Arabidopsis thaliana: one gene and its partners. The protein of the gene in region 1 interacts with the protein of each later gene in a pairwise test. Each region holds a gene or a part of one and is shown in the gene's direction. Other genes may lie near its edges.

The links. Proteins that work in one complex are often made in the same cells at the same time.
Region 2: the proteins of AT5G50520 (region 1) and AT5G45095 interact in a protein complementation assay, tested with the Arabidopsis thaliana proteins (one large-scale study listed by BioGRID).
Region 3: the proteins of AT5G50520 (region 1) and AT5G14690 interact in a protein complementation assay, tested with the Arabidopsis thaliana proteins (one large-scale study listed by BioGRID).

The regions. Positions count from the first base shown.
Region 1 is NC_003076.8:20,567,099-20,575,901, reverse strand, and holds AT5G50520 (Major facilitator superfamily protein), read left to right. Parts: upstream 1-4,245; 5' UTR 4,246-4,314; coding exon 4,315-4,656; intron 4,657-4,852; coding exon 4,853-5,667; intron 5,668-5,756; coding exon 5,757-6,222; 3' UTR 6,223-6,369; downstream 6,370-8,803. Other genes in the region: AT5G50540 (uncharacterized protein), read left to right, coding at 461-802; AT5G50530 (CBS / octicosapeptide/Phox/Bemp1 (PB1) domains-containing protein), read left to right, coding at 980-1,131, 1,241-1,421, 1,509-1,641, 1,713-1,883, 1,981-2,059, 2,178-2,291, 2,416-2,482, 2,641-2,746 and 6 more; AT5G50510 (Molecular chaperone Hsp40/DnaJ family protein), read left to right, coding at 7,827-8,516.
Region 2 is NC_003076.8:18,203,587-18,211,484, forward strand, and holds AT5G45095 (uncharacterized protein), read left to right. Parts: upstream 1-3,776; 5' UTR 3,777-4,254; coding exon 4,255-5,439; 3' UTR 5,440-5,466; downstream 5,467-7,898. Other genes in the region: PP2-A7 (phloem protein 2-A7), read right to left, coding at 178-372, 660-937, 1,274-1,414.
Region 3 is NC_003076.8:4,731,226-4,740,440, reverse strand, and holds AT5G14690 (uncharacterized protein), read left to right. Parts: upstream 1-3,795; 5' UTR 3,796-4,053; intron 4,054-5,728; exon of another isoform or gene 5,729-5,913; 5' UTR 5,914-5,925; coding exon 5,926-6,579; 3' UTR 6,580-6,783; downstream 6,784-9,215. Other genes in the region: AT5G14680 (Adenine nucleotide alpha hydrolases-like superfamily protein), read left to right, coding at 7,416-7,593, 8,058-8,179, 8,291-8,409, 8,713-8,821.

The DNA.
Region 1 (8,803 bases):
AGGGGATGAAACTATATCATCTCATTCCAACTCTTTACGAACCATTAACAAGTATTACTGGCATGATAGACAGAAATGCAAGAAACATAAAACATAATATCAAATTAATAGTTTTTATAGAAAAATTTGAAAATATATATTTTATTGAGACATGGAAAAAACTTACCATTTCAGATATCTCTGTTTTTAATGTGTTATGGTAACTCAGAATGTTATCATTATCTTTGTAAATGAGTAAATTGTTTTTAAAAAAAGCTTTGTATTAATATATCTTGCATTCACGTCATTTTTATCATCTTGTTATCACAGTGAATATAGATCATAGATAATTAAGAAATAACATTGTTAAAAACAATTACTTATCGTAGCTCTTGAACCAAATTGGCACATGTGCTCTTGAATTCATAAAGAATGGGACTGATTATTAGTTTCCGGATTTAAATAAATAACCTCATTAACAATGTCAGCGTCGTCGTTCCCGCGTAGCGTGATACTCACAGCCCGATCGGATACCAAGGGCAAATCTGTATTTTCGTGGTTAACAGATTGGCAAAATGAAGAAAAGTTCCACCACGGATTCTTTTTTTTTTTTTTTTTTTTAATTATTCAATTAATTATTATCTCCTCTGGCCCTTTGCTTTCCCTCTCCTTTCGTCTTTCTCTTCCAAAATTTCTTTCGATTGATTCCCAGAAACAAAAAAAATTCCAATTCCTTCGAACTGCATTATCGATCGTGCCCCAACTAGGCGATTCGAAATCGTCGATCATTATCGAAGTGAAGATTCGAAATTCCCAGTTTTGAATTTCTCTTTTATTCTGTGAATTGATATCAAAAATTTTCCGAAAGAGAAAGATTATTTGGTAAGTTCCAATTCGAATATGCATTTGCTGCAAAAAAAAAAAAAAAAATCAAAATCTGATGATTTTTTTTATTAAAGTGTTTCAGAGAATTTGAAGGAGGAGATCGGAATAGTTGAAAATGGCTAACCAAGGTGGTCCGTCGAGGAAAAGTCTCTCCTTCTCCGGTCATTCATTTCAAGGAAGGAAAAAAGCTTCAGAAAACGAAGGTGGTGGTGGTGGTGGCTCTGATCTCCTCCCACGAAGATCTCTCACATCTTCTCGTTCTTCCATGTAATCATCACCCCATTCTCTTCCAATTCTTCATTTTTCTGAGGAATGATACATGTTTCAAAATATATGAGATTGGAAGTAAATGTTTGCATGTTGTTTCTTGGTGTAGAAGCTTGAGTGGGGAAAGGAGTGGTGAGAGAACGGTAAAGAGACTAAGGTTGTGTAAGGCTCTTACTGTACCAGATAGCACAACTTTATTTGAAGCTTGTCGAAGAATGGCTGCTCGTCGTGTTGATGCGTTATTGCTGACTGATTCTAATGCATTACTTTGTGGGATCCTAACAGATAGGGTATACATGTTTTCATGAACAGGATTCTAAATGCAAACTGGACTTTTCACTTATGTTTTTTTTTTTATCTCTTTTGTTTTTTTTAAGGATATAGCAACAAAAGTGATTGCTAAACAACTTAACCTTGAAGAAACACCTGTATCTAAAGTTATGACCAAGAACCCTGTTTTTGTTTTGTCTGATACTATTGCTGTTGAAGCTCTTCAAAAGATGGTTCAAGGTTTGTTATTTCTTGTTCTTTTATAAGTTCTTTGTTGGTCTTGGTACTTGAGCTGACTAGTGGATATGCAGGCAAGTTTAGACATTTGCCGGTGGTGGAGAATGGAGAAGTTATCGCGCTTCTCGATATTGCAAAGTGTTTGTATGATGCTATTGCCCGCATGGAAAGATCAGTTGAGAAGGGTAAGGCTATTGCTGCGGCTGTTGAAGGCGTTGAAAAGAACTGGGGAACATCTATTGCTGGTATGTTTAAAAATATGGAATTGAGTATCTCCATTTGAATCCATCACAAATGTCTTCTTGCATGCCTCTGATGGCGTTTTTGTTGGATATACGATAGGACCAAACACTTTTATGGAGACACTTAGAGAACGAATATTCAAGCCTTCACTTTCAACTATAATTCCGGAGAATACAAAGTAGGTAATATCTCCTCTATATTTATTATCATATTTGAAATCATTTTGATCTTATACTTGTTTTATTGAGAGAAATAATGCAAAGCTTAACGAGTAAATTTGGAATGAAAACGTACAGGGTTTTAAAGGTTGGATTGGATGAGACTGTGTTAGGAGTAACCATGAAGATGGTGGAATATCAGTCTAGCGCAGCCATGGTGATGGTGGAGAACAAATTAGTTGGGATTCTAACGTAAGTGTCATATTTGGCCCCTTGTCTTCTTTTTCGTTTCTATGGTTCTGAAATTTTTTCTCTACAATATCATGTTTTAATCTTTTCTAGTGGAACTTTGATCTTAAATTGTGATTTTTGTTAGCTCAAAGGACATCTTGATGCGGGTGATATCCCAAAACCTTCCTCAAGAGACAACTACTGTGGAGAAGGTAAAGTTTTCGTTAAGTTCGTGTTTTCGCTATATATGTATGTATGCTTATGCTCGTTAGTTTTGAATCTGGTTGAAATTATTCTTTTCAACTCTTAGATTTATATGAGTACTCATTTTTCGTCTTTGTTGTTTCTTTTCAATCCCATTATTCTATAGGTTATGACACCGAATCCAGAATCTGCAACAGTTGATATGGCAATTGTTGAAGCCTTACATATCATGCATAATGGCAAATTTCTGCATCTTCCTGTATTGGATAAAGGTAACAAAATGTCCTCAAAACTGACTTTGAGCTATAAAGTATGAAGCATTGTTATTTCAACACTTGTCTAATGTTGATGATTACATACAGATGGAGATGTTGTCGCTGTTATTGATGTGATCCACATAACTCATGCTGCTGTTACTACGGTACACTTTTTTTCTTCTATTATTCTCTTCTAGTTGAAGTCGAAAACATGAGACAAGATCGATAAACAATCCGAGAGAAGAAAGAACATGATATATTTGTTGCATACTATTCTTGTTTTGCTATAAACTCTTTATTTCCTTTTGACAAGGCTGGAAGTACGGCTGGAATAAACAATGAGACAGCAAACTCAATGATGCAAAAGTTTTGGGACTCTGCTATGGCTTTGTCTCCTAACGAAGATGGCGATGAAACGAGGAGGTTTCTACTCATATTCCTTTGAACCATTTAGTTTTGACCATAAGGTGGTTTCTTAAACTGGATCATATGATTTTTCAGTGAAGAAGAGTCGATGAAATTATCTTCGGAGATAGAAGTAACAAAATCATTTTCATATCCCAACACATTTGCTTTTAAACTCCAAGATAAAAAGGGACGAATGCATAGATTTATGTGTGGTACGTTAAATCATAACTCTTGAGAAACAGGACACCTATTATGCCAATGCTGCTTAGTCCATTAACCTTTTGTTTTTACTTTTCAATAACAGAAACACAGAGTTTGACAACTCTGATAACAGCAATCCTACAAAGAATGGGGGATGACATTGAGCCTGATAACTTGCCTCAGATAATGGTACATATTTATTCGAAAACTTATTAAACGAGAAGATAGGAAAAATTTTCTTCTTTTGTTGACATATTTTGTGTTGTGTAGTACGAAGATGAAGACAATGACAAAGTTGTTTTAGCATCAGATAATGATCTTGGAGCTGCTGTAGAACATGCAAAATCAATAGGCTGGAAGGTAATAAATTGTACATCCATACTTATTGTCAATTAGTGTAAAGAACTAGGATGAAATGATACCTTAAATCCGCGGTCTCGTTTTGGTTAATGTGGATTTTGGGCTAAAGAAGAGTATATTTGGGTTGGGGATTCCAAATGGTGCAGGGTTTAAAATTGCATTTGGACTACACAGAAGAAAGAGGGCACAGGAGAGGTCTAAGTTCAGAGGATATGGACTACGACCAGTCAAACTCATGGGCAGCCGCTTACAAAACGGTTGCAGCCGGGGCTGCTCTTGCTGCTGGACTTGGAGTTTTGGTGTACCTTAAGCGCAACTCAAACTAACAGATTCATTTTGGGGAGATACAAAAGTGAATGCTTTTGCAAACCAATTTTTAAACCTAAGCTTGTGAAGTGTATACCTCTTCATTGATTCGTGTTTTTTTTTTTTTTTTATCTTGTTGCTTATTTGTTTCTCAACCTTACACATGAATTGTATATAAATAAGTAAACATTTTATTTGTATTTACGGTGTTGTCCAAACTTTTCTTTGAAACTGAAAATTACAAAATAAGTAATCATATGAATCAACGAAAAAAAAAAAGAAATAGAAAGTTTTGAGAGCGTTTGACTATGATGACTTTGTGGCGTCACAAACTAGAGCTCCTAGTCAACGACCGATGGCTAGTTTTCGTCTGCGCCATGTGGGTCCAATCCGTCGCCGGCGTTGGCTATCTATTCGGCGGCTCTATGTCTCCGGCAATCAAGACTTCCCTTGGCTACAATCAGAAACAGATCGCTCTTCTCGGCGTAGCTAAAAACCTCGGTGACGCCATCGGATTCGTCTCCGGTGCTTTATCTGAAGTCTCACCTTCCTGGGTGGTTCTACTCGTCGGTGCAACTCAGAACCTTTTCGGCTACGGTGTTGTTTGGCTCGTCGTCACTGGCCAATTGCCTAATTTGCCTCTCTGGATGGTGAGATGAATTTTACAAATCAAAATTGCTTACACATTTGCGATTTCGTTAGTAATTGTGCTTTGCTTTTGATTATTTGTACGATTCTCTAATTTTGGCTTGAACTTCCAGATATTCAAAAAAAAAAAAAAAAAAAGATGTTAAAGCTTACATATGAGTGTGATCCTGCTTGATTCTGGTTTATTTGTTCATGTAGTTGTTTGTTGCTATATTCGTGGGAACAAATGGGGAAACATACTACAATACAGCGTCGCTTGTGTCATGCATTCATAACTTCCCAGAAAGCCGAGGTCCTGTGGTGGGAATCCTGAAAGGGTTTTCTGGCTTGAGTGGAGCAATCTTGACTCAGGTTTATTTGATGTTCAACCCTTCTCATGATTCTTCGGTTATTCTCATGGTTGCTCTTGGACCACCAGTCGTGGTTCTTGCTCTACTATTTATTGTTAGACCCGTGGAAAGAAGTTGCAGAACGAACTTGCGATCTGATGATTTAAGATTCCTGGCTATTTACGGTTTCTGTGTTGTCCTTGCGGTATATTTACTAGGATTGTTGGTACTTCAGAGTGTTTTTGATATGACTCAAACGATTATCACAACCTCTGGAGCCATCCTTGTCATTTTCATGGTTGTTCCAGTTCTTGTCCCTTTTTCATCGGTTTTCATCTCGGGTAATAATGTCACCTCAGTGAAGCCTGAAGAAGGAACTTCCAATGTGGATCAGCATGAGGCTAGAACTTTAATTGAGAGAAGTGACAGACCGCCGGAAAAGAAAAGAGCGCCGTGTATAGGAGAAGATTTCACCTTGTTACAAGCTTTGGGACAAGCTGACTTCTGGCTTATATTTATGTCTCTGGTTCTAGGTGTAGGTTCGGGAATCACGATTATAGACAATCTTGGTCAGATTTGTTATTCCCTCGGGTACAGCAACACCAAAATATTTGTCTCACTGATCAGCATCTCCAATTTTCTCGGCCGTGTTGCTGGTGGCTACTTCTCTGAGCTAATCATAAGGTACAAAACCCTTAACCATTTCACTTTCGCTTTTAAGAAGCATCTGTGTTTTTTACTGACAGATTCATCTCTTTCTGCCTCTTCAAAAGGAAACTCTCACTTCCAAGAACGTTGGCAATGTCTGTGGTTCAGGCGATAATGTCTTTGGGGCTCATCTACTATGCCATAGATTGGCCAGGGAAGATCTACGTAGTGACCATTGTGATAGGAATGGGTTATGGCGCTCATTGGGCGATTGCTCCTGCTTCAGTCTCTGACATTTTTGGCCTGAAGAGCTTCGGTTCTCTTTACAATTTCCAGATTACAGCTTTGCCTATTGGGTCATTTGTGTTCTCAGGTGTGATCGCTAGTAACATCTATGACTACTACGCCAGAAAGCAAGCCGGACCCACCACAGAGACTGAGTCGCTCGTCTGCACGGGCTCGGTGTGTTATTCAGTCACGTGCAGTCTCATGTCCATGTTGTGTCTAATGGCTATGGTTTTGAGTTTGAGTGTGGTTTATAGGACGAGGAAGTTTTACTTGAGGCTTCATCACCGAGTCTCAAAGACTTGAAGATAGTGTAATTGTGTAAGCAATTTTCATTTGGTCTTTGGAAGATATATGTAAGCAATTTTGAATTCCATACTCAAAATCTTTAATTGGTGTTCACAAGTATTTAAATGTAACATTAAAAAAATAATTGCCCTAAAAGAGTTAGATAACTTACATTACATAAACATAATTTTAATAGATATAAAAAAAATTCTTGAAAGAAAAATTAAAAAACCAACTATATTTGATTAATTTCTACAAATACCAACTATAGATTTTGAGTATTGAAATGGAACACTGAAATAGGGGAAATGTTTTACCATAAAATGTCATTTATATGCATGTACGAAATTCTTGTCAAATACGTATCACTTTATGGTTTTTGAACTTATGAAATTTGGATGCTTCAGTTTGATTGTGGGGAGAAACCTAGGTATCGTTCTTGTTCTATTCTCTTCTCCTTCGTTTTGAGATTTTGTGTATGGACATAATATGAAATTGGGAACTGATGAGTGCTTTGACTGAATTAAAAACATAACTGGAAAATATAAAATTAATATTTTTTACCTTAAGAGTCGTATTTGTTTACTAATCTTTACTACATGTTCATCATCTTAAAGGTGTTGAGAGTGTTTTTATCTTTACTTAAACGTTAATTCAAAACGAAGATAAGAGAAGCTAAGAAAATTTAATTCTTCGTCTAAATCACTCACAAGGTATAGAACCTTGCGGTGCTTTTATTTGAATTTTTTTTCCTAGTCCTTGTCTTATCTTTTCTAGAGTTTCTGTCATTAATCAAATTTGCTTTGACAAATGGGTTCTCAACTTTTAGGATTTTATAATCCCTAAATTATAAAAAATTTATGGACTTCTTTTTGGCTATCAATTGGTTTGGTGTGTAGTGTTGTATAAGAAAGAGATAAGTGATTTTGCTTTGATTTATGTTAAAACCATTTTTCTGAGATTAGTGAATGGTAAAGTTTGTTTGATTGATGGTGTTAATGGTTTGTGTTTTCAATAGATTATATCAGCATCTTTGTGTTTGCAAATGTTTGTTAAGTTTCATCTTAATCCAGTGGTCTCTACGATCTCTAGCAACAAGCCTGTTCTAGATTCCTGAATCTGTTTTCTAAAGTTTACCATGTTGTTTATTTTCGTAAGAGTTTTGGCTTTGTTTTCCAACGGATTTACGCGGGAAAACTCAATTCGGATTTAAGTTTGTTACAAACTTTCGGCCGCAAAATGTCTATTCATTATTGCCGTTTTCCTAAATTTGGCATGAGTTGTTTGTTTAGGAGTAGATATTTCTTATAACAATTTTGATGGATTCCTTACCTAAGACTTCAAGATTTGATCTTAAGGGAGTCAATATCTTTGGTTCTTAAATTTCAAAATTAATATTATCGAACTTTGATGCAAAGAACATCTATCTAGATACCTATTTCCACCATTTATGTTTTCATAGATATTGGAATTATTTTTATCTCTATGGATAACTTGGGGCAAAAGTTTTCTCACTTTCTGCTTTCAGCAATGTTCAATTTTGGGTTGTTTTATTTTCTGATCAATCTCTTTCTTTTGCATGATCTAAACTAAGAGACATAAAAGGACCTTTTGACGAAGAAATGATGCACATGGACGAATCAAGAAAGGAAATCATTCGAGAAGAAGCTAAACGAGCGAAAGCCATCGCAGTGGAAAAATATAAAGCGGGTGATTTTGCTGGAGCCAAAGAGTTTGCTCTCAAGGCAAAACAAATTAATCCTGCACTTGGTGGTCTTCGCCGTCTCAATGCACTTCTTGACGTGTGCATGGGTTTCCAGAAGCAAGTCAATGGTGAAGTTGATTGGTATGATGTTTTAGCGGTCGAGCGAACCGCAGATTTTATAACAATCTTTAATCGTTATAGCACATTAGCTATTGACATTTCCCTTGACCGTGACGAATCTGTTGGTAGTGGTGTTAAAGAGGCACTGAAGATACTCACTGATGCCTCGAAATATTTTCTCGAGAGACGCGAACTTTTACCTTCACGGAGAGTTTCTGGTCCAATAAACCAACTAAGCAGGATTAGTTGTGAAGGAAGCAAACAAAAGGAACCTCCACCAACAAATCTACTTCATGTTTCTAAGTTAACAAGAATGAGCGAAGACGCAGAGATTAGACACGATATTTCTCCAAATAGGCTTCGAAGTGCATTGGCTCGAAAGGCTACGAGTGTGATCAAACTGAGTCTTGAAACGTTTGTTTGTTCTTCTCCGCACAATAATGTTGGTGCTGCTGAGGAAACTGATAATAAGGTCATGGAGGAGTGATAGATACAGCAACATCTTCAAGAAAGAGGCGCTTAAAGCAAACGGCTACTTGCTGGTTTTGGACCGTTTGGTGTTTAATTTAAAATTGGTTTTGGTTTTATTTTAAATTTGGATTTTTTTTGTTTTTACATTTGCATTTTTTATTTGGATTTTCCTCCATTAGCTTTGTTGCTTTGTCATTCATTTTTGAGTTTTAATAAAAGAGAGTTTATCTCTTTCCTTGTTCTTAGAGTTCTATTGAATACTCCCAAACGTACAAGAAGCAGGTCCCTATCGTTTCCTTTGAA
Region 2 (7,898 bases), 2.4 Mb from region 1:
TACTTTTGAGTACTAACTTATTTTACAACTACAACTTTATTCGACACACCTTAATTAAATATTATTTGTTATTTTATTATAATAACAGTTTTTACCTAACTTGTTTAAATTTATGGTTATGTACCTATGTACTAAACACTAACCACAAAATACATTGATCTGATATATTGCACTCACTTTGGTGTCTCGTAGATAGAACTCCATGTCCAATTTATCAGTTTCTCCGAGTGACTCATCTGGAGTTTCCTTGCAGGGACCATGAAACATTTGCTATTTGCTTCTTTTTCTCTGTATACTCCCACAGAAATATTCGCCAGCAATTTACTCATTTCCTCCACGGCAGAATTTATGAGATCTTTCTTGCACTTTACGCTGTCATTCGATACGGATAATAAAAAATTCAATCGATAGGGTGCCAGTTAGAACCAAAGCATGTTTGATAATTGGATATACAGTATTTATCAGTAAAAAAAAAAAGTTAATCTTTTAGTTACAATTTTACTAGAATATAAAATAAAATTTGAAATTATAATCATTTTTTACTGAGAGACTGACTTTTTTTACTTTACTTAAACATTTGGGTCAGACCAAATATTCAAAAAGACCAAATAAGAAGTAAAACGTGTCCTTCACCAAGAACAGAGGAAAAGAAACAATACCTGTTTTGGAGATCGGCCAAGTCTCCAGTCGCATCTACCTTGTAGAATATAGGAATCGCTTCATCGGCGGATTCATTATTCTTCAGTAAATCATTAAAATCACATTTTGACTCTGAAAAGATCGCGAGTGAGATCTTTGAGTCCTGGATTCTTTTAAACAGATTCTTTAGACCTTTGCCTCTTACCTCTTCCTCGTCTATGAAGACATTTATATTTTTGTTTTGTAAGACCGGTTCGAGAAAATTGATCAGACCTTTGCTCACATCTTCTTCTTGCGACTTTATGAACACTAAAGGCCGTGATGGTATCAATCCTACAAAAGAAGACGACGAAGAAAAGGTAGAAGCCGCCATGATGAGAAAGGTTTTTTCTTTTAGAGAAAGTTTTTAAACGAATTTTTCCAACGTTATTATCTGTTTGAATCCTTCAAACAATATAATTCAACATGTTAAGTTGTCAACTTGTCATAACTTGATTAAGTCTAACTTAAAACTAATATTCGAAAGTCAAAGCTGGATTAAGTCATTGAAGCTAGAATTTGGTGGTTAAGTCAAAGCTGGATTAAGTCATTGAAGCTAAGGTATGGTCTCGCCGGTCGCTATAGTATCCCATACCTTATGAACCTTAAGTGTACTTCTCATCCTCATGTCCCATACGGTATAGTTAGTTGATTTGAGCATAGGACATTGTATCGAAGACGGTCCACCTCCGCCTCCGCCTTCTTGTTTCTCCAGTACCACCGCAACCTCACTCATCTTCTTTCTCTATGGATTTTGCTTTAACATTGAAACTCTAATACCAATTCTTGTTTTAGGGATATGATCAAGAACAAAATATAAAGAATGATTCTCTTTATTTCTTTAGAAAAATAACTATAAAAACCTAAAGCTCTCTCTTAATCTCTCAATCTCTAAAGTAAACTCATAAGTTATGCAACATCTTTGCATTTTCTTATATAACAAAAGAATTAGATAAGTTCCTATTCTCATTAGGAAAACTCACAAATATATATATATTTAAGCAACTTCCTAAATATAATGTCTAATTCATATTTTCTTTAGGGATAGCTCCTTTCCTCGGAAATTGATGAATACTTGAGGTCTCGTTGGAATAAATAATACATTGGAAGAAGAAGAAGAAACTAAAGATGCTCCTACCATCGAAGAGCAAGCAATAGGATCGTTTGATCGATTCTTGTTTGAATTTGCAACATGGATTGGTGAAATTAATTAATGTGTAAGTCATATCTTTGTGAGATATATATATATACTTAGTATGATGACATTATTATCGTCATTGATCGTCGTTATTACTATTATTAGTATAATTAATCTTCTGAAATGTACATTTTGGAAATTTTCCATGTAACGTTAGTCCAAAAATGGAAACTGCAAATACTTTTCGAAGAATCTCTCCAAAACGAGTTGAGAGTTGACTTCTTCACTGACTAAATTTCTGCAAAAACGAGTAAGATATAACTTCTTCTATGGTGCAAAAATACGGAAAGCAATTTTCTCTTATTTCTAGAATTTATCAATGTACTTTAGTTCCCAGTTCAAAGCCCATCCAAATATCTTCGCAGACTTGGGTGTTTAAAAGCCCATCCAAATATCAAAGCCCATAATGTTTTGATGTAGACATAAAAGCCTGTTTAGAATAAAGATTTTTTTGCGCAAACTTGTACCTGAAAAAACTATAAATAAAGAAAAGGGTATGGTACAAAAACATCTTCAAAATCGTTTATTTTTTTAACTTTATTTCTAACTCTAAAAAATATAGAATAATCCTACAAAATCAAGAATAACACGCAAACTAGCCTTTATATATATATATATATATATATATATATATATATATATATTGTAAACGTATTACGATAACGTACATTTGATTTCATAATACATAAAAAAATACATAAAATACTTTTTTATAAACAACATAGCAAATCGAATCTCTCGTGATGACAAGTTTAAATCCATTTTTAAAATTACCATGAACCCTTTTGAATATATAATGTATGCAACCATAAAACCTTTTAAAATATACATATGAAGGTTATAAAACATATTATTTTTAATTTCATAAATTTGTTCTGTATTTTTTGAAGACGACGGAAAGTAAAATTGCAATAAAACAGACAGAGATTTGGAGAGCCTTTTTTGCAGAACACCCAACCAAAAAAATAAACAATGGTAATTAATTTCATAACTAATCCAACTGCTATTTTATTGTGATATTAAACTGATTAGATTTTGCTGTCACGGCCAATATATCATGACTGACCAATATAAACCAAACATGAATGATGATGATAGCACTCAGTGTTATTCTTTGTACTTAGTATTATAAAAAACAAAGTCTTCTTCCAGAACATATTTTTCTTTTTAGTCTAATGTATAATGATTACATAGAAATCCCAACGTGAAGGTCGATAGCTAAAACAGATTTTGCGTTTTTCTCTCCATTTGGCTTGGGCCGCTTTAAAATATTCGATGTTTTTTTTAAATCTTTAAAAACTGATTTAGCATCATTGGAAAATGGAAACTAATGATATCATTTTCCGTTTAAAACAATCAAATCCTAATTTTTTCAATCCTTTTATTCGATAAAGATCTTTAACATCCGCAACATGAATGGTACTAGTTAATTATTTTGTTTCTTTAACTAAAATCATGTATACAAAATAATAAATTTCTTACTTCGAATACTATTTTTTCAATGTTAGTAGTTTGTATATTCCCTCTATTTCTGATTATATATAGTTTTAAAAAAAAAATTATAAAATAAGTGTTGTTTTCACTTATCTATTCAAAACTTAAATGTATTTAATAATTTTTGGTTAATTATATTTTACAATATATTTTTTTTATTGGTAGAATTAGATGTAGTTAATGATGTTTTACAGAAAATAGATAAATTAAATGAGATTTTTATGTTTTTTTTATGTGTGAGACAAAGGAAATATTAATTAAGCAGTCCGATTCAATATGTAATGTCCACATATTAATTCATAATAAGGTTTTGATTAATATTAGGATATTAGCCCAGAGTAGGTGAAGAAGTTTCAATATGTAATCTCTATTATTATACATATAGCCTATAGAGAAGAAAGACAATATTCTTCTTGGAAATCTTAAGATAATAATTTAGCTCTCTCCCAGGCACCATTTTCGAGACACCATCGTTGGCCATGTTTTCCGACGCCGGTGGAGTTTTAACTCGCCGGCGTCGGGATGTCTCGTCTTCTCTTAGCTTCCTTTTCAAGACCTGCTCATTTTAGTTCTGTTTTCTTTCAATTTTTGCGAATTTGGATCTATTTCTCTTTTTGGCCTCTTCCCATGGCGTCTCCGAGATATGTGACAGAGAAAGAAGGTGTGTTCCGGCGAGTCTCCTTCTTCCATATCCTCTGTTCACAACGTTGGTTTCGAAGTCGTCAAAAGAGGAATCCCTTGATTCCAACTGTTTTTCATCTTTGAAATATGAGATTTGTCTCACTGTTTCTCTCGGATCCAATGGATCTAGATCTCTCTCGGGTCTCCCCGAAGAACTTTCTCACCGAATATCGTCGACAATACTTCTACCTCCTCGCGTTTTAATGAAGACTTCTCCAAGCATCATCTGCATTTTGTTTCGAGAAGCCATGTTGTTCTGGAGTTCATGCTCGTCGTCCGTACCGGTGAAGATTCTGCCGGCAAGCAACTTAAACCTAATTCTTCCAATGGTCTCCTTTCATGGGCTTGATCTACAATTCTGCTGGCAGTCCTTTGGCCCATATTGCATCTCATCTCGGCCCATTTATGTGGATTTTGGCCCAATTTCTTTTTCAACTTGGCCCAGGTCTGTTCCTTTCAACCTATATTACAACCCATTAATCATGCCTCCAAGTTGCATCATTTCTTCAAATGTCTTAAGCTTAATGACTACAACTATGACGACATTATTAGTGTGTTATTGCTCTCAACGGCTCAGTTTCCCGTTGAAGAAATCATCTCGAATAATTTTGGAAGAACGTATTGTTAAGAAGATTTTAATGCTCTGTGATCCGGTTTGGCTCCGACAGTGGCATGTTCGAGTCTCCCTGTTCGCTCTGTCCGGTTTATATCTACCGGTTTTCATCTTCATTACCCACCGTTTGAAGCATCACAAAATCGATTTTAACCAGCATCCCCAATCTAGCAGTGTGCACATTCTGAATTGGTTTCAGATTTCAAAGAAAGTTTCTGCGATTGTTCGAAAAGCTTTCGATCTGCGTTTTAGAGCTCTGAATCTTCCTTTATCTGATCTGAAGGGTCCCTTTTACCCAAATTCCTCCACAAAAGAGAGACATTTGGTGTTAAATTCCTCCTTTATGGAGAGATCACTTTTTTCCCCCTCCTCCTTTATGGAGAGAACCGTCTCATCAAATGACCATCTTCGTTTTCTGGTTCTTAAGCTGAGAAATCGGTTGCGTATCCTAACCGTGTTACTATCTTTTGTAGTTGAAGATGTATCATGTTTTGCGCCGGCGAAACTCAAGGTTATGGGTTCTTTTTCAACGTCACAATGGCAATGTCTAGTGACCAATCCACTCCTCGATTTGTTCGTGGATGTGTCTTCGACTCTCCAATGTCTCGTTTGTTTTAAGATGCTTTTTAGCTCATGTCTTCTAGCTCTTTTGGATCTACGGTCGTATTATCGTATTTATCTATGTTTTGCATTTTTGAATGCTTTATCCTTTGATGTACTAAATTCAGAGTTCTTTGAACTCCTATGGATCTCTGTAATCTTCTTGTTCGTTTGAATGGAATCAAATTATTTGACAAAAAAAAAAATACATATAGCCTAGGTAATAGTGATTACCAGCAGGAACAATAATTAAAGCAAATAAATTTCAAGTCTTGTGAAACTAATAGTGATACTTTTTTTGGGTCTGAAATAACAGTGATTGAACAATGCACCTTGGAACATTAACTAAAGCAAATTGAATTCAAGATTAACACAGAGGTTGATTGTCCGTCCGAGTCATGGCAAAAATAAACAAGTAATCAAGTAAAGAATGATAGTGATTTCAACTTTATGTCATAAAATATAGTATGAGAGATTGTATTAGACTTTATAATAATGAGTGATTAGATCTGAACCCGTGTTGTGGTTAAACACTTAGGCGGCGGGATTAGTGGGGACAAAATAGATTATGGAGTGTATTCAAAGCATTCCATTTAGATAGGTGGGACTATGATTCCTAAACTCTAAACTAACGGATAATTTTATTTTAAACTGAAAATTGACAATAGTCTAAATTTGTTATGTAAATTAATTTCAATATATAGCCGAAAATGTTTTGAAATAACAAACTACCTTAGAATTTAAAATCGTTAATCCCAAAATGTTAAGCAAAACAGCCTAATTTTCTAAGTTTTCATTTGAAACATTGGATGTGCCTAGATGACATAATTTGGCTTAAAAGAAAGTAGCTGAAATAAAAATTTGTTGAGTTCTTCCTCGATCAATCAGAGTTGAATAAATATAAACTAATGTCAACCCAATTACACTAAAAAAAATATATATATATATATATATGATAAATTGTCGAAGTTTATGTCGCATTTGTTTTTGTACGATTATAAATTTTCGATGTTTATTAAATATATTTTGGAAAACAGATTTTATGGACTTAACTAAAACTTTTTTTTTCTTTTTGCAAAGTATTGAAAGTTTGCTTAGAGCTAATACTTGGATCACTTTATGTATATGATTACTATAATTTCGCTAGAATCTGTTTAATCATATATTTGTAGTTTTTTAAAATATGTTTAATTAAACAAATAGCTAAATATATAGGGTTTGATTGTTAGAAAGAAAAAAAGTAAAAAGGGGAAGTTTGTAAAATTACACTAAAAACAATGATTTTTGAAACATAGACCACTTTCCAATTTTTAAAAACTTAATTAACTATTTATATGTTAATTTACAAATGTATCCTTTCATGGTTAAAAGTTTTAACTTAAAACTAACTTAATTAATTACTTAAACCATTTTTCCGAATCATATATGTTATCGTATGATGTTTTTTGTATATCACAAACGAAGTTACGTCGAAGTGTCCAAAGAAATATTCTCTCAATTAATTTGATATTGTTGCTTCAGGTTCATTAATCATACAGACATGTAATTTTCCAGTCACGCTAAATCATTACAACTTGGCAGCAACGACACAGACGGTGTAATCCAACTTCCAAAAGTATAGTATGAAAGAAGATATGGTTGAAGTCACTAATCAATCAACCACCTCAAACGTTCTTTTTTCCTTTTATTTTCTCAATTTGGTCCATAAAGACAAAGTAATCAATCAACACATTGTTTACGATGTTTGAAACGTGGACGTGTAAGAGACCCACTCCACGATGACTTTGCCTTCTTCCTTTATGGGGGGTCTATAATAGAAGTTCCAATCATGACTACAAATTTACTCAACTATTCGTAACTTGTGTAAAAGAAAAACTAAAAGTAACAGGAATATAAGACCATCTCTATCAATAACTGTTTAATATAAAACTAAAATATAATCAAAAAGTATGAAAGAAAGTAAAATTAGTTTTTCAAATGAAAAATTTTGAGAAACTCATAAAAATATTTATATATATCATCTATTGGTCAAATATTATTTTATTATTAAAATTTAATTATATAACTAATATTTATTAAAATACAAATATCATTTTTTTTTTAGAAACCAAAAAGGTATCTCACTGATGGAGATGCCCTAATAGTACATTATAGTAAGTATATCCTACATAATTTTTTTTATTTTTTTTTGGTAAAAGATAAAATTTTATATCATTTTTGATTTGTGACATAATTACAGAAAAAACTAGAAACAGATTAAAACAATCTACAGAATAATATTACAACTAGTAAAAAACTAAAAACACATTATAGTAAATGTATCCTACATAATTAAAAACAAAATCAAAATGAATATAAACAATTTCTTACATATTGTTCATGGATGGAATGGAGCTAGAACCATCCTTCACCAAATCAATGTCACTATATAGAAAAGCAAAGAAGTTGTCCAAAGAGAAATGTTTTACCTTAAAATCTCAAAGACTTAAAAAATAAAAATAAAACGAATATTGAATAAAATATTAATATTGTAAATGAAACGACCGAAACCTGAAACAACTCAGAAGAAAATCTTATTAAAAAAAGTTGACAGATGTGAACATTATTAAGATACTTTAACTAATTAGTGGGTCC
Region 3 (9,215 bases), about 16 Mb from region 1:
TTATTCTTTTCTTCTTTTAAATTATGCTTTATTTATTTGTTTAGTGTAATGATAAATCATTATGAAATAAAAAAAATGAGAATCATTGTTATTTGTAATTGTACGAATGTGGTTTGCGTGGAGGGTGGTTGTTGTAAAGGGCGGTAGAGTTGGTGTTCGTGGAAAATTTATAAATTCTTCCTATTTCGGATAACTAACAATAAGTCAATAACGAGCAAATAAAGCCAATTTCAACAACACGTAATTTTGTTTCTGGCCCGACTGGCCGGTGCAAAAGGATTATCACAAATATAATTTTTATTTTAATTTGTCAATCATCATGAAAAGTATACACAATAATTTTTCTGATAAATCAAACATTGTAATGATACCTTTAGCAAAAAAAACAACAACATTGTAATGATATGAATAATGAGTTCGTCCAACACGCAACCGGTTCATGCCAAACAAGCAAGCTGTTCGAACCAGGGACGTACAATGAGTGACACATGTCAACATATAAGTGATGATAGTTAAGGAAAGAAACATCAGAACAAATGATTAACATGAAGAAGAGACTGATGTGTCTCTGCAGCCAGGCGGCGAAGCGAGTGAAATACACTTCTTCAGTTCTTTTTTTCTATCTTTCAATACGCAAAAATTAAAACAGAGAGCAATCTCAGTAGCTAACGTGGCGATCGGAGAGTCGAGTGCACGTGCAAAGTGTTTTGAAGACAAAGTCACGCCAAAGGCAGCACCAGAGAGAAATAGGCGTGAACGCTGTCCTATTTTTTTAAGTTCAAACTCACGGAAAATCACACAAAATAAAACATAAATAAATGATTTTATAAAGTTATGCTGATTAAAAAATACTAAAAACTTATGTAAATATTTGAAACTATAAAGAAAAAAAAACTCATATCAACTCTGCAAATAACTCAGCTCCTAAATGCAGCACTGAAATGTAGAAACTTTAATGTATACCATTTTCATGGCACTGTTACCATTGTACATACATCCATCATTGAACGCAACATAATTAAGTACATACTCTAAGATACTTTTGGTAATGAGATGTTCAGATTTGCTTAGAAGTCACTCAAATTTATCAAATGAATAAATATTTCTAATTTCTATTTTGGGTGTTTATTCTTTTTATTTAGTGTTGAAAAACACTAGAAAACTATTGTGAAAATGCATGGAAAGCAACACAAATTGGGCCGAGTTCCCATGATTTGATTCTCTCTGTCTTCGGGACTCATCAAACACCAAGCTCCGATATTTCCTATAAATTCGTACAAGAACTTATTCTTATCGATTGTGTATTACTAAATAGGAGTAAATACTAATAACTCGAACCGGTTTACACATATGTGAAACTGTGAGGAAATATTGGTTAAACTAATCCAAAAAAAACATTTGAATTCACAAATTGTTTAACCAAAGCATTTTCCTTTTTCTGGTAAAAAAAAAGAAGAAAAAGAAGAAGATCATTACTGATCTACAACTTTCATCAAAAATCTTTTTGAAAATCAAATATTTCACCAATAAAAAATCCAAAACATTAGTGAAGAAATTTACAAAAGATGGGGCTGCATTCACAATTGGTGTCTTTTAACAAAAATGTCAAACAACGTTTCTAACAAAAAAAAAAATGTTTCAAACAATAAGTTTGATCAATAGAGTATCGACCCCCTAACTATCGTTTACAGCACTACAGTTGTAAAATGTAATGCTGATCATAATTGTTTGTTCACACGGAACGTAACGTAACGAGTTTAAAACTTTAAAGAAGTTATACTTGTATGATACTCTAATTCCGACCTTTACTAGCAGCCTACCTTAGCAGGTTATAGTTTACATGTTGTATTTGTTAAGAGTATCAAGTCGTTTAATGTAACACATCAAGAAGATTTTGATTTGATGATTACGTTAATCGATAACTAATAAATTAAAAAACTAAAATGGTTGGCTCTTTATTTTCATCAAAGGCCTCCTCAAGAAATCTCCTATAGATATCATAAGACCAACACCTAAAGACTGTAATTTTGTATTCCTATATATTAAGTATATTGTACACGTAAAGTCGAATTATGGTATAGGTATTGTAATCTTAATTAATTCGCGTAAACGAATATTCTTATCAGTATGATATATATACTTTAGTTGAAAGTTTATATATATATAGTCATGATTACATCATCGTATCATTGAAAAATACTTAGCCACCTCACATATTATCATATGGTATTTGTATATATGAGAAATCCATTATCTTGTTCCAAATTTAACTAATTGTCGTTGACTCGTTGTAATTTACTAATTTGCACTTATATATATATATATATTTTTTTTTAAAATGTGTGATATTTAAATCTATATGATTATCATTATCGTGAATCACTGAATCTCTGAACATATCACACATTTCCCGGCTTTCAATTTGATTGTATCAAAGCTAATAACGAATAATCTACTCATAAGTTTCAGTTAACTAGTTCATTCAAAAAATAACAACTCAAATCTAATTACGTAAAGCTAACGTTTTGGATGTATAATCTATATATATATACATTTTTCAGTCATTTTAGCAAATAAATCCTAAGTTGAAACTTATTTACAAGAGATGTCATTGCTATCAATTATTATCAATTAATTAATATTCCTAATTTGTAGCATTTCCTTATCTATTATATTTCCATCAATTTTAATTATTTAAAAAATGAGAAATCTTAGGACATTATTCATATATACTTGATTAAAAGATAAATATTATAGTTAATTAAACATTTAAAATATTTAACGGAAAAATGTTTTATAATATTTATAATATATGAAATCTATAAAAATTAAATAATCATTTAAAATAAAACTTTTAAATTAATGTGATTATAAATCTTTTAATAAAAATATTATTCGAACAAAAAATAAAAAAAATAATGTTTAATTTTAACTGTTGAGATTAGATGATAAGACGAGTTTAGAATATTTATAATATATGAACTTTAAAACTATTAAATAATCATTAGAAATAAAACTTTTAAATTGATTTGAATTATATATCTTTTAAAGTAAAGTATTATTAAAACAAAAATACGAGATGGTATGACGAGTTTTGGTCGATAAGTAATACGAGACAGTATAGTACGGGTGAAATCTATTAGATATGTTTAATTTCACTGAACGAGATTAGATGATATGACAATTTTGAATCGATAATAATACGAGACAGTATACCACGGGTGAAATTATATATATATTTATAAATCAAAATATCATTATATTAATAAAACAAATATAATTAAAATTTGAATTATTTAGTTATAATCTAAATTTTAACTTAATAAACTGTTTGTTATTCTTTTTATATTTTTAAACAGTAAAAATTAAACATAGTAATTATATACTAAATAATATATATATATATAAGAGTTGTACATTTAGAAAATATAAAAATAAATTATATATATTTAATCTACTAAACAAATTAATTTTTTATTTTTTGAAAAAGATATAGTCCCGGGTTAAAATCTAGTTATAACTGTAAAAGTATTGCAAAATATTCCTCTAATTCGGTTAAAAACCTAAATCATACGGCTCATACCCAAAAAATTATTACAAAACCTAACTGTACATATAGCTCTTGTCATATGTCGTCGTAAAAAATACTCGAGTTTAGCTCATTCAAATAGAGCTTTACTCAGCTGCTAAAATAAAAAATTAATGCAATTATAACTAACGTAATTAATTAAGCTCCGTACACGTGAATATATATATAGAGAGAGAGAGAAACAAAAAAGGAAACATGTATATATGTAAAAATGGAGCATTTGCTACACCAAATCATCTTTCTTAATCGTCCTCTCCTTCTTCTCCTTCTCCTACTTCTCCTTCTTCTCCTTTTTCTTTCCTTTATCATATCCATCATCCCAAACCTAGCTAAACCCACAAATCATATCTTAGGATTACTACAATACACAACATACCAAATGAAATTGTATTTCTGTTGAACTTTATGCATCCATAGTTATATATATTTACCAGAAATCAAGCAAGTTGAGGAAATCATCCAAGGTAATCCTACATTTCTCTCATGACTCATCATTTTCGATTAGGGTTTCTTAGTTGGGTTCAATTTCTATAAATCCCAGTTACGATTATGGTCTTAACTACGGGTATAATCTGAATTAGCTATCGAGTTCATCGTAGATTTTACATATCCGAAGAGCTTTATTTATTTTAACAATATGATTAGTTAGAGGGATATTTAGGTTGCATGTGTGTCATTTGTGACTACCACGTTGGGGATATACAAACATACATTTCATAATTAACTTTAATTGTATTTTTCCTTAAGAAAATTTCCATAGATATTGAAATTGAGCTTTCTAATAATGATATCCATATACACAAAGTATATAGGGTCTCATATGTGTGAATATACCACTATATCAGTATTGTATAATGAACATGCAAATTACATTTTTAAATTTACCCACCATTTTGCACTTTTACCTTATACAAGTGAAAAGGGACAATAGTACTAGGTCCCACTACGATATAAAAAGGAAAGATACGATTTTTCTTTATCTCTAAACACGAAACATATACTGTATGATGGTTTGTAATAGATGGTATAATCAGAATGCATTTGAATAGTTGATTAACATTTTCGCTTTCGTAAAGATGAAACAGAGAGATATAATTCTACAACATTTGCCGGAGTCCAATTGTCCAAAAGTAATATCTTTAATTCATTTTTAACAGAAAACAAAAGTAACATCTCTATGAATCATGGTTTATAGCCCATTAATATGTAGTTCATACATATCTAAAAATATATTATCGTCTACTGGAAATTATTGCAAGGAGATTCCTAATAGACTTTCTAGGACTATTAATTAATAGGGCTATTGATTATCAGTTGTTTCATAAGTTAAGTAGGAACACTAAAGTATAATTGAACAATAGACTATTTATTTCGTATACTGTATTAGTGTATTCTAAATTGTATTTTATTACGTTCCACGTAATTGGGCCATAAGAAGACCCGGCAATCCACGTGAAAGAGAATCCTTCCCACTAGCATCCACGTTGCCACATTAATTTTTAAATAGTTTCTCATCAATTAAACATTATAATATTAATCACCATAAACATCACCATAAATTTTTTGTTGGTACAACAATCTCCATCTTTTGTTTGTCGCATATCTTCGGATAACAAACTTTTTTTAGTGGAATGTGTTTTCTAAATGGTAAATGACCATACTATATACTAGTAGAACGTAAAAAACAAAATGCTAAATCCAATACAACTTCTTAAACCTTGTGTAAAACTTTTAAATTAGCAAAAAAAATATTAACGAGATACCTATCAGGCTACTACACCACAATTAATCTCAGAGAGCCCAAAACAATAATCATTAATTCATTACATATCCCTAGGAGAACTCCTTTTTAAAATCTTTCAAAAACTTTAGCATTTCCGATGGTCAAAATCCCCCAAAATAATAATATGGATCCGTTTCCACGCGCTCCTTGCAATTTATAAATAAAATTCATTAGACCAAACCTTATTTTTTACCCTTATGTATATAGTATGTTTGATTTACATGAGGGAAAAAAACGAAGTCGTTACATGTCGTGGTTTACACGCGATAAAGAAGAGCGTGAGAGAATAGTGAATCTAAACCTGAACTGTCTTGGTCATTAAGTGAAAAATGCATGGAAAATCTCGAGTTGTTGTTTCCTACATCTCTCTGTTTTTTTTGTTTTAATAAAGTTTTTACTATTTCCTATACGTATCAACTTGTAAGCAAAACCTTTTTCAAACTTTGATCCATAAATTAAATACATATCGATGTATCTCGTATATATATATTACAGTGACCAAGCTCTTCATTTTTTTCTGTATTATTTTTTGTTGTAGTAGGCTTTTGTTTTGATGGAGGAAAACCCGCATCGAGTTTCACGTAGAAACCATGGCGGGACCCACTGTCAAAACGACGCCGTGGACGAAGAGAACCGTCGACGACGGCATAACCACCACACTCACGGCGACGAAGTCAAATGCTCCAGTAAGAGATGCCGATCGTGGGCGGCTGCGGCGATTGCTGACTGTGTAGCGCTTTGTTGCTGTCCATGTGCGATCATCAACCTTCTTACTCTTACTCTCGTCAAAGTCCCGTGGATGATCGGACGGCGATGTCTCGGCGGCGGCGGTCGGAATAAGAAGAAGCGGAGAGTAATACACAGGAGGAAACGCCGCGGGAATATCAACGGTGAAGATGAGTTTTATCATCATAATAACCATCACCGCCGGTTTGAGACAGCCGAGGAGGGTGAGAAATGCGGCTGCGGCGGTGGCGGAGGAGGATGTTATGGCGGCGGAGATTATGATGATCACCGGTTTGTGGTAGAGAGAGATGGGAGTTTAACGAAGGAGGAGGAGGAGGAGGAGAGAACGACGTCGTGTAAAGGAGAAGATCATGATGAGTCGCGAATAAGTGCAAGAGTTGAAGCCGAGAGAGTGTGGTTAGAGTTGTATCAGATTGGTCATCTTGGATTTGGTAGAGTCTCTTTCACTGGAATTCAATGATTGATCAATTTGTAGGATTTTTTAGTTATATTCGAATAAATATAAAATGTGAATGTTTTAGTCTATGTGTTCTATTCTATGATAGGTCTCGCTCGTGAGCGTATTCGCATATATACATCTCGATCGATCCACTATGCTAGAAACCACATTTGTGATATATAACTGCAGAAATTTGTTCATTCCATCAAAATATCATGAATTAGCTCGACAGTGGACCTAGAAGTGTTCACATTGTTAGAGACTTATACCTTTAAATAATTTGATTCATAAAACTAGTTTTGAAAAAAAAAAAAAACAGAGAGGAAGTGGTTATTGGTAGTTTGATGATTTTTTATCACATTCCAAAGCTTTTGTCATTCAATTTTTTTAGTTACAATTAATTCTATATAATGCCAGTAAATTATACTCAGTATGATTGGAAGATGATTTCTTAACACTTATAAGTTCATATGATTTTTCTCATATTCACTAAATACTTAAAACCCTATACAATTAGAATCTTTTATTTAAATCAATAAAGTACAAACTATATAACAAAATGAAGCTAGCCTACCAATAACACCCAAAATATAGCAATGGGCCCGTTTATAAACAGATTGAATAGTTGGGCTAGATAAGAGACCCACTAACAAAGTTCTGCTCCTAAACCGACCCTGCGCATTTTAGTCGGCAGCAAAATTTATTACGATATCGTGCTCTAATGTGCGCCGTCCGCGCACAATACCCTTTCCTCTCTGCTTGTGCCTGACATAGTTGTTATTCAGTTCATTCCTGCTTCCCCGCCTTCCTCTTTTAGGAACCAATAGAGCTCGAGAGAGTAGTCGAGTGAAACAATAATGGAGAGCGAGCCTACTCGAGTGATGGTGGCGGTGAATGAATCGACTCTCAAAGGCTATCCACACGCGTCGATAAGTAGCAAAAAAGCATTCGAGTGGACACTGAAGAAGATCGTTCGGTCCAATACCTCTGGCTTCAAGCTTCTCTTGCTCCACGTTCAAGTTCAAGACGAAGACGGTTACTTCTCTCTCTCATTCGATCGTTGAATTTTGAATATCGTGATACTTGGATTTGAGTCTGTATCTGTCTGCTTAATGTTGTTGATCATTAGTTTCAATGATGATGCTCAACGGATATTTTTTAGGGTATAAGTAGATTAATTCAGGCTAAATTAGGTGTTTGTATATGTTCTCAAGACTTGATCTCTAGTGTTTTAGCTGTTTGTGAGGGTCGTAGAGTTTTCAATGGAAGTCAAAGAACCGACAAGAACTGTTTTTGGTTAGTTAGAAGAATCTAGATCCACTTCTGAGAAGAATTGTGCTTTTGATTTCTAAGAAATATTATGGAAAAGACTTTCTTCATGTTTATGTGATGTTTTTCCTCTTCATTGGGAGCAATGCAATAATGTACCAAGTTTTATTTTTGTTAGGTAGCATTAATAAATGTGATCTTACTTGTTCTGATTATGAATTGGGAACCAGGTTTTGATGACATGGACAGTATATATGCTTCCCCTGATGATTTCCGACAAATGAGGGAGCGTAACAAGGCTAAAGGACTTCACCTTCTTGAGTTTTTCGTTAAGAAATGTCATGATATTGGGGTAAACGACTCCTTTAAACTCATTGATAGATCCATATCTGTCTTTATGTCCCTCACTTGTATCACAGTAACTTTTGGTGGCTCTGATACATGGTAGTTGTTGAACTTGTAGGTTGGGTGCGAGGCTTGGATCAGGAAAGGTGATCCCACAGAATTGATATGCCATGAAGTGAGGCGAGTCCGGCCAGATTTTCTGGTTGTGGGAAGTCGTGGTCTCGGCCCATTCCAAAAGTATGTACAATCCTCACACACGCCTCAAGAAGACTTATTCTTGCTTTACAGTTATACCATATCGATTAGTCATTATGTAGTCTCAAATGACTTGTTGGTTTCGGGAAAAATACAGATCAAGAGTTTATTAGAAATCCTGAGACCTTTTTCTTGCATATGATGATTGATGACACCTCATGGAAATCAATCACTGCTTATGCTTTAGACTTTATACTGCACCGAGAATCGTCATTAGCTCTTGTACTTGCTTGAGCTTGAAATCACAGATATTGATCAAGTTCACATTTGTTTACCACTGGACAGGGTATTTGTTGGAACAGTGAGTGAATTTTGTGTGAAGCATGCAGAATGCCCAGTCATCACAATCAAACGCACTGCTGAAGAATCTCCACAAGATCCAGCTGATGACTAAATTTCAAAAGCAACGCAAAACCATGCGGTGATTTCATGTCTGCTGAATCCCGCAAGCTTTTGAGAGACAATAAATGGGTGTGTTGCAGTACAGAAGAAGAAAAACGTTACAAAAAACTCTTTTGATTGATCTAGTAAGTGCATCTGTAATTCTAGATGTTATTCGATGATACTACACACACAAAGCATCATATATATTCGTGTTTAGTCTCCATTCTCGAAACATAAAAACAAAAAGTTCCTTTATTTGTTGTGTAATCTTAGACTCTTCAATGTCTTTCATATATGGCTATCCAATGTCTGGTCTGCTGTATCTGATTGCAAATGCTTCTTGGGATGTTCTCGTTTATCATCATGGTCCTAGTATTAACTGAGTACTAAGGAAGTATCAAAGA